Linked DNA regions of Lytechinus pictus. The protein of the gene in region 2 interacts with the protein of the main gene of each other region in a biochemical or structural test. Links are inferred from orthologs where the notes say so. Each region holds a gene or a part of one and is shown on either strand. Other genes may lie near its edges.

The links.
Region 1: the proteins of DNA topoisomerase I, mitochondrial-like (region 2) and serine/arginine-rich splicing factor 1B-like form a complex in vitro, tested with the Homo sapiens proteins (2 studies listed by BioGRID, with this or other methods). The link is inferred for Lytechinus pictus from reciprocal best matches to the Homo sapiens genes TOP1 and SRSF1.

Annotation. Positions count from the first base shown.
Region 1 is NC_087246.1:14,835,596-14,843,663, forward strand, and holds the start of serine/arginine-rich splicing factor 1B-like, read right to left. Parts: upstream 3,008-8,068; 5' UTR 2,909-3,007; intron 2,838-2,908; exon of another isoform or gene 2,417-2,837; intron 1-2,416. UniProt on the Homo sapiens protein: Plays a role in preventing exon skipping, ensuring the accuracy of splicing and regulating alternative splicing.
Region 2 is NC_087246.1:63,390,177-63,397,579, reverse strand, and holds the start of DNA topoisomerase I, mitochondrial-like, read right to left. Parts: upstream 3,202-7,403; 5' UTR 3,085-3,201; coding exon 3,076-3,084; intron 775-3,075; coding exon 753-774; intron 1-752. UniProt on the Homo sapiens protein: Releases the supercoiling and torsional tension of DNA introduced during the DNA replication and transcription by transiently cleaving and rejoining one strand of the DNA duplex.

The DNA.
Region 1 (8,068 bases), about 49 Mb from region 2:
TTTTTCGCCGTCATCCGTCTTAACATCAGATGTTCGCTAATATAATCTCAATATTACTAAAAAGTTAGGCCAAGGGTCTAACTCTGAATTATGCTTATGCCTGCGAGAAGTTATGAAATGCATACCGTACATGATTCAAAATCTATTGACTGATTGTTTTCTGGGACAATCTCAATACTAAAATTTTTATTTTAATTTTAGTTCCAAACTTGTTACAAGATCGATCGCTATCTCATATAGTGCTGCCACCATACGGATATCCGAACGGTTTCCGCCCGCGTGGACGGATAACGGTTTTCATTTTTCAGGTTCGGGTATCCGTGGACACTGATTCACCACTTTCCTGTCACAAAAACTCATTAAATTTAGTAAGACTCACCAACAAAATTTATAAGTTTTAGTCGCCAATATAATCACCAATATCAATTAATCTTCTTCGGTAATATATTCCCGCCGAAAACCATCATTTTTATATCAGTTTTGAAACATGACCTTATATCAGTTTTGGAGCATGACCGTCCGTGAATGGAGTAAAGTTCCGTTCTGACAACGATGGCTATTTTACTATGGTGTCGCTTAAGATCGTTTTTCTTTCCCCGTCTTATGTTTTGATGATTTCAAATGCGTAACTCATCGTATATTTTCTTACCTCGACTTTCAATGCGAGTGAAGAATGCAGATAATTTGAAACCATTTAAGCGTCAAATAAATGTTGATCGTGTAAATCGGGTGTGTCATGTTGTTTCTTGTAATTTATTCATCAAATGCAAAATGAATTCTACTTTTTCTCATAGCAACTTTGGTTACCAATGAAGATGATTATTTTTGAAACTATGAAAAGTTGAAAACGTCGAATGAATGTTGATTGCGTGTGTCATGTTGTTTCTTGTAATTTATTCATCAAGTGCAAAATGAATTCTGCTTTTTCTCACACCAACTTTGGTTACAAATGAAGATGATTATTTTTGAAACTATGAAAAGTTGAAAACGTGGAATAAATGTTGATTGCGTGTGTCATGTTGTTTTTGTGATTTGATAATGGCGGACTTTGTGATGAATGATAATGAGAGTGAAACTGAAATGAATGACGATGATGAGTGATGGCTAGTGAAAATGATTTTAAATGATTATCAAGATTGGTGAAGATGATAGCGATGAATGATGAGAATTATGAAAGAATGATAATTGTCAATTGAAAATCTTTCATGAATTAATATTTAATATATAAATTACAAAACACACATTTTCCTTTATTTCAGTTTAAATGGCATATCCACTATAAATTTTGATATCCATCATCACGTAAACAACAATACTTATAAGGCGGTATCGTGCCAGAAAGGTTTATGATGTGTGCCCGCCGAGTATGTGGTCGGTTGTGAATTGACGTGTTTTGCAGTAAAACTTACTGGTGATGAATGTAAGTGATTAGTTACTGTTACTGTAATTAAATCTTGTCTTGAATCTTTGTTAGAAGTGTGATTATGTTTCAGAAGTTGAGAAATGATAAGCTTGGCTATAATTTGGGGAATGGGGAGAAACCCGACATGAAAATGAAAATATTCCAAGTACGATCCCATTTGAAGGTGTAGCGAGTGTAATGTGACCAAATATATATCGGACGATTCAGTCCAGACACGTCCAGACAGGACAGCACGTGCGTGAGCTGAATGATGTAGGCCTGTCTGGTTTTAGACTTTTAGTAATAGTAGACTCGCACTTACACTCGCCTCGGTCAAATTCATTGCATCTTATTTCATTCGATCGGAACTAAAAAATAAACACACATACTCTCGCAACCATTAAATGGGATCGTAACTAGGCCCGACTTGTATAACTCAAATAATAGTCATTTACTAATAGCTTAGGGCCTACACAGTCATACGATCTACATTTGTAGCCGTAGCCTCACGCTAACTCACATTAGTCAAATCCGATTGCAAAACAGATTCAACCCAAAATATTCAGCTTCTCGTAATTTCGTGGTTTTCAGAAATATCTTAATTAGCGCACGCTGACTCTCGCCATCATCGAATAGGTTCAAAACTCAAATATAACTGAAAATCTTAAATATAACTCAAATAAGTGCAAATGGATATTATTTTTTATATTTCAGTTTCAGTCCTTTCAGTTTGCATAGCTGTTACGTTACATCTTTTTTTAAAATTGCTTTAGCTGCATACATAAGTTGTTGAAATGTTATTTTTGCATGATTTCGGATTATCTCTGGTGGGCGTTTCATGAAGCTGTTCGTAAGAGTAAGACAAGAGCGGCTTTAAGAATGACTAGTGATCCTTTCTTATGGTATATTCATTGGCGATAGTTTTTAGTGCGTACAAAAGGATCACCAGTCGTTCATAAATTAAGTTACAGACGCTCTTAGTCTTAGACTTAAGTCTTAACATGCTTAACTTACATACAAACGGCCCCCTGTTCTCATGTCATGGTTCTGTCAACTTCTGAATCTGATACAATTACAATTTGTCTGCTATTCTATGTTCACAGTGTAATTTGATTTGTGTATAATCACAGCTGCAAGTTTGTTTTATATTTTCTTGATTATGTATGAATTTTATGTGAATGAATGACAAAGATTACTTCAAAACAAAAATCTCGCTCTCACTCAGTAAAGTCTCAGCTCCAATCTCGATCCACACACAATTAAGGCACGCGGTATACAATGCTGTGCGCGCGTGCATGCACTGCACTGCGAGTTCAGGCATTTCAAATCAGGTTGCAACATTATCGAACACACTAAATACATGTAAATTACATGTACCGTCATCACCATCCAACCACCATCCATGTCAGTAATAATAAGTACAACTTTGATTCGCAAATATGTATGCGAAATCAACGATATTATAAACAGTGCACACAAAAATCGACAAATTGTGAATTGAATTACCCTTGTCCTCGCGACTGGTGAATGGGCTCTCTGCATAAAAAAAAGGTAACGTTAAACAACGACGCCGCGATTTTGATCGATATATAGCCGATGTGATCCGAAGGACGATCCGAAGCTAAGCTCGGAAAACTTCGGGTTTGTGTTTACATGAAGTCGAAGTCTAAGTCGAGAATAGTCTATTAATACAAACATTTTTCAAATTTAGAAATGAAACAATCTGTTCCGATACACATTAAGTTATCCCTATATAATAAATTTGTTTTAATGATATTTTTTTTAATTGTATTTTCAACACTACAATTGAATCCTCATTAGCTGCACATATGTGAAAAAAATCATAAGCAGGATTGTACAAAAAAGCCCCTCCCCCTTATTCTTTATAGTTTTATCATGGACCTACTGTCTCCCCCCCCCCTCTCTCTCTTCCTGCACCTCTCTTTTTCTCTCACTTTTGCTACTTTTGAAGACTAAACATTTATGTATGATCCACCACAACAAAAAGCTGATTTGAATAAAAAGAGAAAAGCCAACAAGCATAGCCAAACATTAAGCAAACGTCATCAAAATCAGATGTAAAATAAGAAAGTTTTGACATAAAAAAAAAGTTTCACTTAATTTAAAAAAACAGTTGTATGCACATCCTGGTTGGTATATGCAAATGAGGAGACTGATGACGTCATCCACTCACTATTTCTTTTGTTTTTTATTATATGATATCTGAAATGTTCTTATTTTCTCCTCATTGACAAATCAGTGAAACAATCAATTGTCAAATCTGTAAAAGAGAAAAAATGTTGTATAATTCAAATAACAAAAGAAATGGTGAGGGACATCATCGTCTGTCTCATTTGCATGTCACTGAGTTTTGCATACTATTGCTGTTTTGTGAAAAATAAGGGAAACTTTAAAATGTCATAACTTTTTTATTTTACATCCGATTTTGATGAAATTTTCAGCGTTATGCAAGTTTGATTTTTCTCTATTTCCTAAAGCAACATTTTCTGGAGTGGATTTGACCTTTAAAAAAATAAAGGGAGAAAAGCAAAAGAACAAAAAACCCTGAAAATTACTTTGTTTTCAGACTTTTTTCTATTAAAATATTGTTTAAGTCATATGATTAAAAGTTGATTATTTCCATGTATATAACATTTTTTAATACAGTTCATCTTTCAATCTATTCAGAAAGGCACAAATTCTGAATATTCATATGACAGGCATTTAAAGAGCTCTTCATTGGGATTACTTTTCACTACAACTCTCAATGAGAAGTTGACATAATTGTTATCCCATTCTGTTACCTACAGCATCAACTTTCAGGTAAAAGTAACCAAAGAAAGTATATCAATCTAGTATGCTCTAAATCTATCAGTGTGGAAAAATAGGCATTAATTTCCTAGAAATATAATAAAGACCACAATTCCCTTATTCTAAAATCCAAAAGAGCCTAGTCAGGAGACTTTCTTTGCCTATTCTTTCCATCATTTTGTGACAACCTTTTTATATCAAACAGTAGGCATAGGCCTAATGATAACATACCATTTTTAAAATAACATTTACTCTCATATAAAGCCTTAGTTCCAATATATTAGTGACAATTTTCCTTTTACCAACCCTTTACTTGCAATAAATTCAGTTTATTCATAACTCATTGTATCTGTTTTGTTAAGCCATTAAGAACTATGGCAGAATATGTCAGCTTACAGCACAAGTTGTTTACCAATAGTATATCTTTAAAAAAAATGTGACTCTTGAAACTGTTTGTTACAAATGCAGCCACTTTTTCAGTTGCAGAAATATGAGGTATTGAAGCTCAATAGACGCATGATATTCTTACTACTAGAAAGGTGATAAAAGTAAGGTTGTTGGTCTCGAACCTAATCGATACAAACTGTAAGATCAGGGCCCCTTCATACAAAGAGTTACGATTGATCCAATCAATCGTAACTCTATGGAAATTCTTCAGTGTCATAATTTTTTCTACATAAAATTTTCAAAATGTCCTTTTGTAAACAAAGGCGAACATACCAAATTGTCAATAAAACAATTAATTTATGTAAATTTACGTCATATGTAGAAAACATTTTGAACGTTCATGCATTTTAGATGTTGACGTTGCTGGCCGTCCATAGTTGTGATTGATCGGATCAATCGCAACTCTTTGTAAGACGGGCCCCAGGTTGTCCGCATTCTAAAAGTAGTGAAAAATATGGATAATCCATCAATTTCATATAGGAAATGTACATGTACATCTGTCCTTTTAAAAACAACGAAGAGCACAAGGATTTTTCACATAACGATGCATGCATGAGTATTTAAAAACACTTTGAACTGACATGTGCATTCTAGATTCATGCCATTCAATTGGCTTTCCATCCTTGTGATTGATAAAACAATCATAAATCTATGTAAGAACACGCCATCTGCAACAATTTATAAACTTTATTATGTTATCATCAGTGACCCATTCAGAACAAGATTACTAATTTTTTAATTCTTGAAATTGGTATATTTCTATTTTTGCTACATTTTTTTATTAAAAAGAATATAAAAGTGCCTCTGAGGGTTTAAATTTTATCAATCTGCATAAAAGCAGTAATTTTGAAGTTTCCATCGCCTAATCATGACACATTTTGTGTTTTATTTTCCTTTAAAACACTGATTAAAAGATGCTGATGCAATAAATGAGGCCTTTTTTATTAGTACACTTTGATAAAATCAATTTTCTAAATGTTGGAAATTCAAGAAAAAAAAAATCAACCTTTTTGTATAATCCAGTTTTCCTCTTTAACTGCACTTAAAACCATTATAATTCAAACTAGAAAACATGTAATAATTTCAAGAATGTCCCATATGTAGGGGGTCAAACATGCAACAACAGAGGTAAAACCAAATGGCAACACCGGAATAATCAAAATAAGATCAAGCAAACATCCACTTTATGACACCTCACCGTCAGGCTGATGAATCTTAAATTATTCATAATAAAAAAATGAATTAATTTCAGTCAATGGAGAAAAATTGAATTTCTCTCACTCTCATATAACAAAGTATATTAGAGTTGTACAAAGGACATATCACCAATTATCTAAAATATTCTTCACTCGCAACATATATGATTGACCTGGAAAAGAAATTGCGTACTATACATGCATATTTCTCACTACAATTGATTGAAAATATTTATAGATTGTGCCAATATAAGAAAATAATTCATAAATGCCTGGATATTAAAAGTTAACAGCCTACTTTGATAAACATATACAAATATGGTTCAGCACAATATATCATTAAAACAGCTGTTTTAATGTTAAGAAAGTAAAAATTACACCTAGAATTTCATACTACCAAAATGTACAAAAGAAGCATTAAATAATACAGGTGTATATTTTTTTAAAATGATGAATGTCTCTGGGTATTACACTTAATAAAATAAATAAACTTGATAAATCAAAAATAAAAGTGTAGGCTGTGATGTTTATGGGGGAAATAAAATGAAATCAAAATGATTTAGGATCAAAGAATAGTCAGTCACAAGATATTTAGAAATAATTTTGAAGTAAAAATATAGGGGAAAATCTAATAAAGATGTTGCATGATGAGAACAAAAAAAAGCAAATATATGTATGAAGGATAAGTAAAAGAATATTTAAAATGAATTTTATTTTACTATCATAAGTAAATGCAAAAGTAGAAGGAACAGAAAGAAAGCACAGGGTCAGAATTTGGCAATACGAAATCAAATGATACAAGAATACATTGACTTGCTGGAAAGGATTACTATGCCACAACAATATCCTATCATATATCTTACACAAGTATCATATAAAGCAAATCACTGCAGATTGCTCAATACAGATAGCAATTAAGCAACAATAACATCAAGTGACAATATCAAATTCAATATTGCAATAAAATTAAATGCTACAGATGTAAATTTTAACTAATATTGCTCAGTTAGCAAAACTAAATTTTGTTTAATAGCACCTACGATAAATAGACAAGTATTTGTATTAAGCAAGATAATTCTCTATGCACTTTATTGCAATAAATATAATGTATTAATTTTGCTTATATACAGCTATTGTTACAACTTAAGGAAATAATGTATGTAAAATACTAGTAATAATATCATCAATATATATTCAATATCTTTCCACTCAATGGCATTTTGATACAGCGTTTAAGAACACTTCGATTACTTGCACATTCATTACCCCTTTATTCACAATTCCTTCATAGTGAAGACAATCAAATAATGTTAGTTATTATAGACATGTATTACATGGACTAAAATTAAATGCTCAAAAATTAATAAATAAATAAAAACATCAACATTGAGGCTCACTGTGAGACCAGCATCATACATCCAAAGACTCATCATCTTTCAATTAAAAAGCATTGACTGGTCCTAAAGAAAGCATATCAAACAGAAATCAAATCTAAACCCACAATCAAAAATTGGGCACCAACACAATGGATTCTTTTCTAAATTTCAAGAGAGTGTTTTGATTTTCTGCATCCTAGCCAAAGTAAATTGTTCAACGGACCATTTTCAAAAGAAACAAGGAATGACAATCCCCCCCCCCCCATTTATTTAGTTCTTATTTATGGAGGTTCCCATATTAATCTCTGCTTCCAAAGTAAGCACAACCATGTACCTCTCTCATAGATCTATTGAATGGATACTCAGCCATGTTGTCTCATTATCATTACTGAACATGAAGATAGAAAACATAAATATTCAACTAGTCCAAAATATACAAATACTATTACATTAAATTCATAAAGACCCCATTCTTATTAATATTAATTATTATCATTTCCCTCACTGATATCACCTTTTATCATATCCCTGTGAAATGATTAGGGCTACACTCTCTGAAACAGAGTTTTCAAACAATCTTTTGAAAGCTTGATACATAAAAAGGGTGTTGCACACTCGGCACTTTGATTAAGTCAATAATACAATAACATGTCAATCTTAAGCTTTGCTCAAACTAACTCATTAAACTTATTCAAAATGAGAAAGGAAATACTTTTCTTAAATCATAAAGAGCGCAATATGCATCAGACAGTCCAACTCATGATTTATAACTTGTGGGACCTATGAAAAAAATACACATTTAGGTTGACTATATAAGTCAATCCTTCATATCACAT
Region 2 (7,403 bases):
CTTCTTTAACTACATTGTCAAAGTCAGCTTCAGAATCTAATTAGGTGATCTGTCGATCGACATATTATTTTTCCGCCCTTTTCTTGATAGCACAAAATCTCAAAATCTGCATCATCAATTTTCTTCAAATTTTCATCAGTAATGGGGACTTATCATGTGAGGTTTATAAAACAAGTTCAAGGTCAAAAGGTCATCATGATGCCATTTTGTAAAATCACATTATCAATCATATCTTCATTATCAATTATAAAAAATTAACCATATTCTCATGACATTAACTTCAGGTCAAGGGTCAACTGTCCATTTCATCAAAGGTCATTTAAAGGTTATGCACGCACGTCAAAATTTTAAAATGCTCAAAATCACTTTTTTGACCAAAGTAGAGTATGAATCATGTCATTTTAAGCATTTCAAAAAATTGCGCGCGTGCGTAACGGCACTATACAACATAGAATTGCCACTTTTTTCAGATCAAAGCATCAAAAGATAATTCTGAGCAATTTGATACTTTGATCAACCTTCTACAACAAATAATAACGGAATTAGCCTCCATAAAAATTTACAGCATGCACACGCTAAACATAGATAATATATGTGCAAAAACATGCACATGTTTTGTTCTCATATGAACAAAATATATTGTCATGAAATTGGTATCATTTTAAATTCAGTATATAAAATTGTCTTATTTCATAATTTATAAGTTACTTTCTCATGATCAACAAAGGACAAATGATACTTTTTTTACTTACCAGACTTTATTTTGTCCACTTTCTGTAACAAGAAAATAAAAACAAAGGAAACAATAAAAATATCAAATATACATGGAATTAGCAAAAAATAAAAAAAAATAAAAAGAATGCAGGCCCCACAAAATTCAGGTGAAGGTTTTCTGGAAATTAATTGTGAGTCATGTTGATTGCTGACTAACAAATGGTTATAAATTTAAGGTTATAATTCAAATTTATGAATTATAATTCTATCAGTTTTGTCAAAGATAAATTAAAAATAAAACCCCAAATTATAAAACATATGATAGGGTAACCATAATTTGTGCACATTTAAAAAAGTTGATTTTCAATCAAAAATTTCTCAGTTCACACAAAATTAATCAAAATAATAAATACCAAATGGAAGGCAAGATCAAATTCACTTGACAGAATTATAAAGTACCGTAGGTCAAGGGTTTTGCTGGTATCGCGATCTGAAAATTCCATGGCGATCGACTAATGCGCTCGGCTGAAAAACTATCATAAAAAAGTGTGACCTTAATTTGCGCATGATCGTTTTGCAAAGCTTTAGAAAGAAATCAACTGAACAAAGGTAAGATTTTGTATCAGATAGAAGTTGAAATTATTTATTTTTAAATCATGATTTCCATTGAAACATGTACAAATGATATGACTTTTTTTATTTGTGCCAGTTTGATTTTTTTTACTCAAAATAGACAGATTTTTTATATCATTAAAACATGAATAAATCCTTCATATCTACGTACTTGAAATCAAGTAGTAGTAAATGAAATGGAAGTTAATCTTGCAATGTAGCAATGTTTCTTCCAAAGAAACTAATCCTCATTTCATGTTAAGAGTTTTGAATAGGAACACTAACTTTGCAGTATAGCTGTACGAAGACGGTTCCTCAACTACCAGTCAGTAGGAGCTAAATACTCTACACGAGATGATGCTGAAAACAGCATCTTCATTACGACTTACATATTCTTATCTATTTTGACTAGATTTAATTTTAAATAGTTCAGAATAATTTTAGTAGTGAAATGTACGATTTTAGAAATGTATTTTTATTTTTTGCACTTTGTTTTTAAAAAAATTGTTAAAAAAAAAAATCTGATTTAGACTTATTTTATGTAGGCCTAAATAAAAAAAAATCTGATTTAAATCATACAAATCTGATTTTTTTTTTTAATTAAAAAAAATTGCCAACCCTGATTTTGGGTCTCTCTTTCCGTTGCTGTTGATATCAGTTTTTCAAGATATTAGATATTGAGATATTTGACTGTGCGCAAAATTAGGTATATTTGTAACACGCGAATTAAGGTCACAAAACCATAATTGGAAAAAAAAAATACATCAGCCATCAAGCAAAGGCAAATAATATTTAAATTAAAAAAAAAAATTTTGAAATTGACAAGACAGATCTAGATCTAGTAGTAGTACATGTAGTAGAATAGATCTATGTATTTGAGAAACTTACAATCAAACTCAACATCTGTTCCATAAAAAAAATGGTCAGTGATTGATTTCAATCAGACGTCAACAATTCTTAATTCATTACCAGTCCAAGACTCCAAATTCTAACTTTAATAGTGTAAAAAGAAGACTTAATTTGAACTGTTTAACTGTTACAAATAAAATAAAATCTTTAAATTCTTTCAATTTCACCATTTCATTTGAGGACTTTCTTTTAAAAAAAGGTAAGTTTTTTACTTAACAACATGGTAATGCTAATGCCAGTAATGGGTTCACCATTCATATTTGAAGACCACAACCAGCACTCAAAAATATTATTCACATTCATTAGAATTCATCAAATTAAAATCTTCAAGTTGGACATGAATGTCACTTTAAATTTACGTCACACACCACTCCACAGTGCAGTACCGGTACTGGTACAGTTCATAGAAAGCATGTGAAAAGCGGAACATCTCAAATGACGTATGGGCCAAACACCGGGCATACAGATTAGAGCGGTCACGTTGATCAAGCCGCCGACTTCGTGCACACACCACACCATACACACGCATGCCATTCATGTACAAAGCATATGGAGCAAGCCAAAAAAATTACTAAGTACGGTACGGAGAGCTTATCGCCCTGTGTGCAATGATATAGGGCGAACGCAAAAATAACTAAGTACGAAGCACAACTGTGTGCATTTCAATGGCGAAGCGTTCCTTTCGACCTCGAACAAAAACTAACACATGTGTGATGTAGAGGCGGCAGCCGTATTAACACACTGATTCCACATAAAAACCATCTCAATCCACATACACTAATATTCCAATTCACGCTATGACACTAACACCACAAAATAGAGTAAAATGTGCGAACTTACCGAACTCATTTTGGTGATTCTTTGTCTAACCAATTTCCACGTTATGGCGGATGAGGATCGCAGAAAAATGGCTAAGTATCGAACTTTTTTCAGAGCGCATGCGCGTGGTCTAAAAAATGCCCGGATGATCCGGCCAAGTCTTGGAAACGACTCGTTTCAACTTGCTTTGTTCATCTATATTTGTTTTCTTTTCAAAATAGATGTATCATGTAGTAGTACGCTAGCGTACAGTTGAGATTAAGGGGGAGGGGAAGGGTTAGGGTTAAAAAAAAACACGACCATGCAAGAAAAAAAAAGAGGGAAGGGTGAAATATTTTCTGACTTAGGGCCAATGTCAAAGTCGATCATAATAATTTGTAATACTGAAATATCGAAATTTGTGCTAGCTCACTTGCAACTTTTTATACATTTTGCCCGATACGCCATATCTGCATGGCCCCCTCAAAACTTGGTGCCAGGCATAAATGGCAGAGGTAAAAATGGCATAGGTAAAAATGACCCGTTCCATTAAGGACCCCCGTTTTCACAAGCATTTGTAGTTCAAAAGCCCGTTCCGAGGACCCTCCTTTTTACAATAAGTCCGCTCCAAGGCCCCCGGTTTTTGTCTCGCCGGCGGCACACACCTACCAATTTTTTGGTCGAGTACCCCCCCCCCCGGGGGGGGGGGCAGAGGTATATTGTCAGAGGTAAAAATGGCAGAGGTAAAATGGCAGAGGTAATAATGGCAGAGGTAAAAATGGCAGAGGTAAAATGACTGAGGTAAAGATCATGACATATGCTACATCAACAAGGAAAAGACAGAGCCTTTCCAGTTAATATCAGTCATAATGCATTGGCCTTGAATGGACTCCTATATATCGACGGAATGAGCATTATGAACTGATAAGATATTATTTAGATTTTTTATTCATTTTAGGTCAGCTTTATCGTTGATATGATTAAATTCAACAATTGTCATGCCAAAATGATTTCAATTAGTGAGTAATGAAAGGATTTATCTTGGCCATTTCGTAGAGTAGAACAGCACTTCATCACATATTACCAAACGAATTTTAATGTAAACACCAAATGTGCGCTACCACGCATCAGGCGTGCCGGAACACTTTCACTTTTAGGGGGGCAAAAATATTGTGCCCCCTTCGGAAGGGGGCACAATATTTTTGACAGCGTGAGATACCGAAGCGATCGAGCGGGAGAGGGTGTGGGACCCCCCCCAACGGTCGACTTTGTGTAAAAATGGAGTATAAAAGTTGCGTTTCTATAATTAGAGCATTCAAAAATAAATTTCTTGAGAATTAAACATAGATTTCACTAAATATTAATTTATGAGAACTTTCGCGCAAAACGATCGCTTCGGAATGTGGTTTTCATGTCTGATCAATTAAATTACGTATTACGCTTATATTGACTCAAAATACCAGAAATTACATTTTTCATGCAATATCCTTTCAGAAACATTTATTTATGTACATTTACATACACGGACGACATTATTTTATCCAATAATCCAACAACTCAAGCCTCTTTAACTCTTTATCCTTTTCTGTTTTACAGGGTTCTAGGACAACTACCCCCTGGACAATCACCCCCCGGAAAACTACCCCCCGGACAATTCCCCCCTGAGGACAATTACCCCCCGGACAATTACCCCCCCCCCGAGGACAACTACCCCCCGAGGACAATTACCCCCCGGACAATTACCCCCGGACAACTACCCCCCGGACAACTACGTACCCCCGGACAACTACGTACCCCCGGACAACTACCTCCCCGGACAACTACCCCCCCCCCCCGGACAACTACCCCCCAGACAACTACCCCCCCCCGGACAACTACCCCCCGGACAACTACCCCCGGACAACTACCCCCCGGACAACTACCCCCCGGACAACTACCCCCGGACAATTACCCCCGGGACAATTACCCCCGGACAACTACCCCCTGGACAATTACCCCCCGGACAACTACCCCCCGGACAATTACCTTCAGAAAATCCCCCCTTCTCTCCAGCATCAATTTTAGAATTAAGCAGGACCCATTGTAAGTTTTGGTCGGTGGCACAGGTTTCCGAAATATTTTCTACTTTACCTTACGTTAATAACTTTTTCTTTCTCTTTTATATTGCTCTTTCTCCTGTTCTCTCACTTTCTTCTTTTTTCCTTTTTTGTTTTTGTTTAGCGGCGCCTTCTGCATCATGAAAAATGGGGGGGGGGGGGGCTCGCACCCGAAACCTCCCGTTTGGCTATGCATATATACATCAGAAAATTTGTAAACTGGCCCTCATTCTAAGTTTTCATATAACAATTGAACACGATTAGTTATAATAATCACAAATGCTGAATATCTCTGATTCCAACTGATCTGATTTTTTTTAAATATTTATTTTGGGTTTAATTTCAGGAAAGAAATCAGGCAAATAGATAAAACGTAAAAAAGACACCTTCATAGGTAGAAATATTGAAAGTCGATAACACAACTATCAACACTAACACTGTCAAGTAGACCTATAAATCTGTTATTTTAAAACAGTTCAACTAACAAGAAGTTAAGAATTATGAAACAATTGGTGCACATTCCAGATTAAGATGTGGCTTTATAACTTAATACAGTAAGCTAAAAAACTTTATGCAAAGATAATACACACAAGAACACCTGGTAAATTACAAAATGTTTTTGTGTGTATTATTCTTGGGTGAAAGCAATTAAACATTAAAGAAGGAAATTAAGTACCAAATTTACTAAATTGTAAACAATATGACATAATCAAATACAGTGTTTTTTCTATACAAATTGGCAATCATGATAGTATATAATTCGTTTAAGGTGCATTTTAAGGACGGTTTGTAAGAATTTATAAAGAAGTAGGCCTATGCAAATAAAATAATGCGACCGAGCAGCGTGAGCTGAAAATATTAATATTTAGACCATAAAACGGACATTTTACAGAGCACTTGAAAAATCAATTTGTAAATTTAAAAATAATGAAAGCTCGATATCCGAGATGAAATATGTTATGTGTATTGACTTCGAAACTTGATATTTTAAGCTCCATTTCAGCCTATATTGAGCAAGATATTAATCTCATCGAAAAAGCAATGCGAGCGCGAAGCGCGAGCGGAAAATACTTGATGTTCCGGTATGAAAATGGTGAATTTGAGTACTATCTAAAGCATTGTGTAGGGAAATTGTGAAGTGGATGTGGAAAGCACTTAATAAATGATGCGAGTGTGAAGCGCGAGCTGATATCTTCATTATTATTTTGACCTAGGACCTGGACATTCTAGGTCTAAGGACATTTCGTCATCATATGAAAATGATGACAACTTTCTTATTCCTCTTCCTGAGCGCGATATGAAACATATGAAACTGTGATATTGTCGATATTCTTTTCTGAAAAGGGACAATGTAGTCATTAAGAATTCATGAAAATGTTATTATCATATTTATTAATGTAATAAGCCTAAATGAGTGAGTAAAATGTGTTGACACTGAGGCCTGAAAACTGGATATTTTAAGCACTTTTGTAATCTTGAATAGGATTTGTGACTTGATATATTTTTAACAAAAATGCGAGCGCAAATCGTGAGACGAAATTTTTGGTAAACTGTCATAAAAGGGGGGTTTTAAGTAGTTTGTTATATAATTTGGCAAATCAAATAATGCGAGCGCATAGCGCAAGCTGCAAGTTATATTCACACCATAAAACGGACATTAAACAGAGCACTTAAAAATTTGCCCTTTGTCTAGGGGGTAATTGTCCGGGGGGGTAGTTGTCCGGGGGTAATTGTCCGGGGGTAGTTGTCCGGGGGTAATTGTCCGGGGGGTAGTTGTCCTGGGGGGCGTTTCATGAAAGGACTTGTCGGACGTTTTATCCGACAGTTACCATAGGAACAGTGCCTCCCAGCCAATCAAAATCATGGAAAGATGTCAGATCTGACAACTTGTCGGTGAAAATATTGATGAAACCATGGACATGATGAAACACTCCCCTGATACCGTTTTACAGTCATTTTCAGAACTACACAAATTGATAGGCGAGAAATTGGAAGATTGAGACTAGACTAGAGTATGACGACCTTGAGATGTTATGGTTTCTGGGCTTGACAGCTATAGGCCTAGGGCCTATGACATAGATTCCATATGTTGCTCGAGTAAAACCCCCGTCACACTAGAGGCGGAATGAGCCGGAATGCCGTCGGAATGAAAATTCTTGGTACATTCCTGGATATTCGAAGCGCATTCTAAAAATTCTGACTGCATTCTGAGTGCATTCCAGACATTCGGGTCCATTCTTGTGACCGTCCCGAATGTTTTGCTCATGTTCAAAA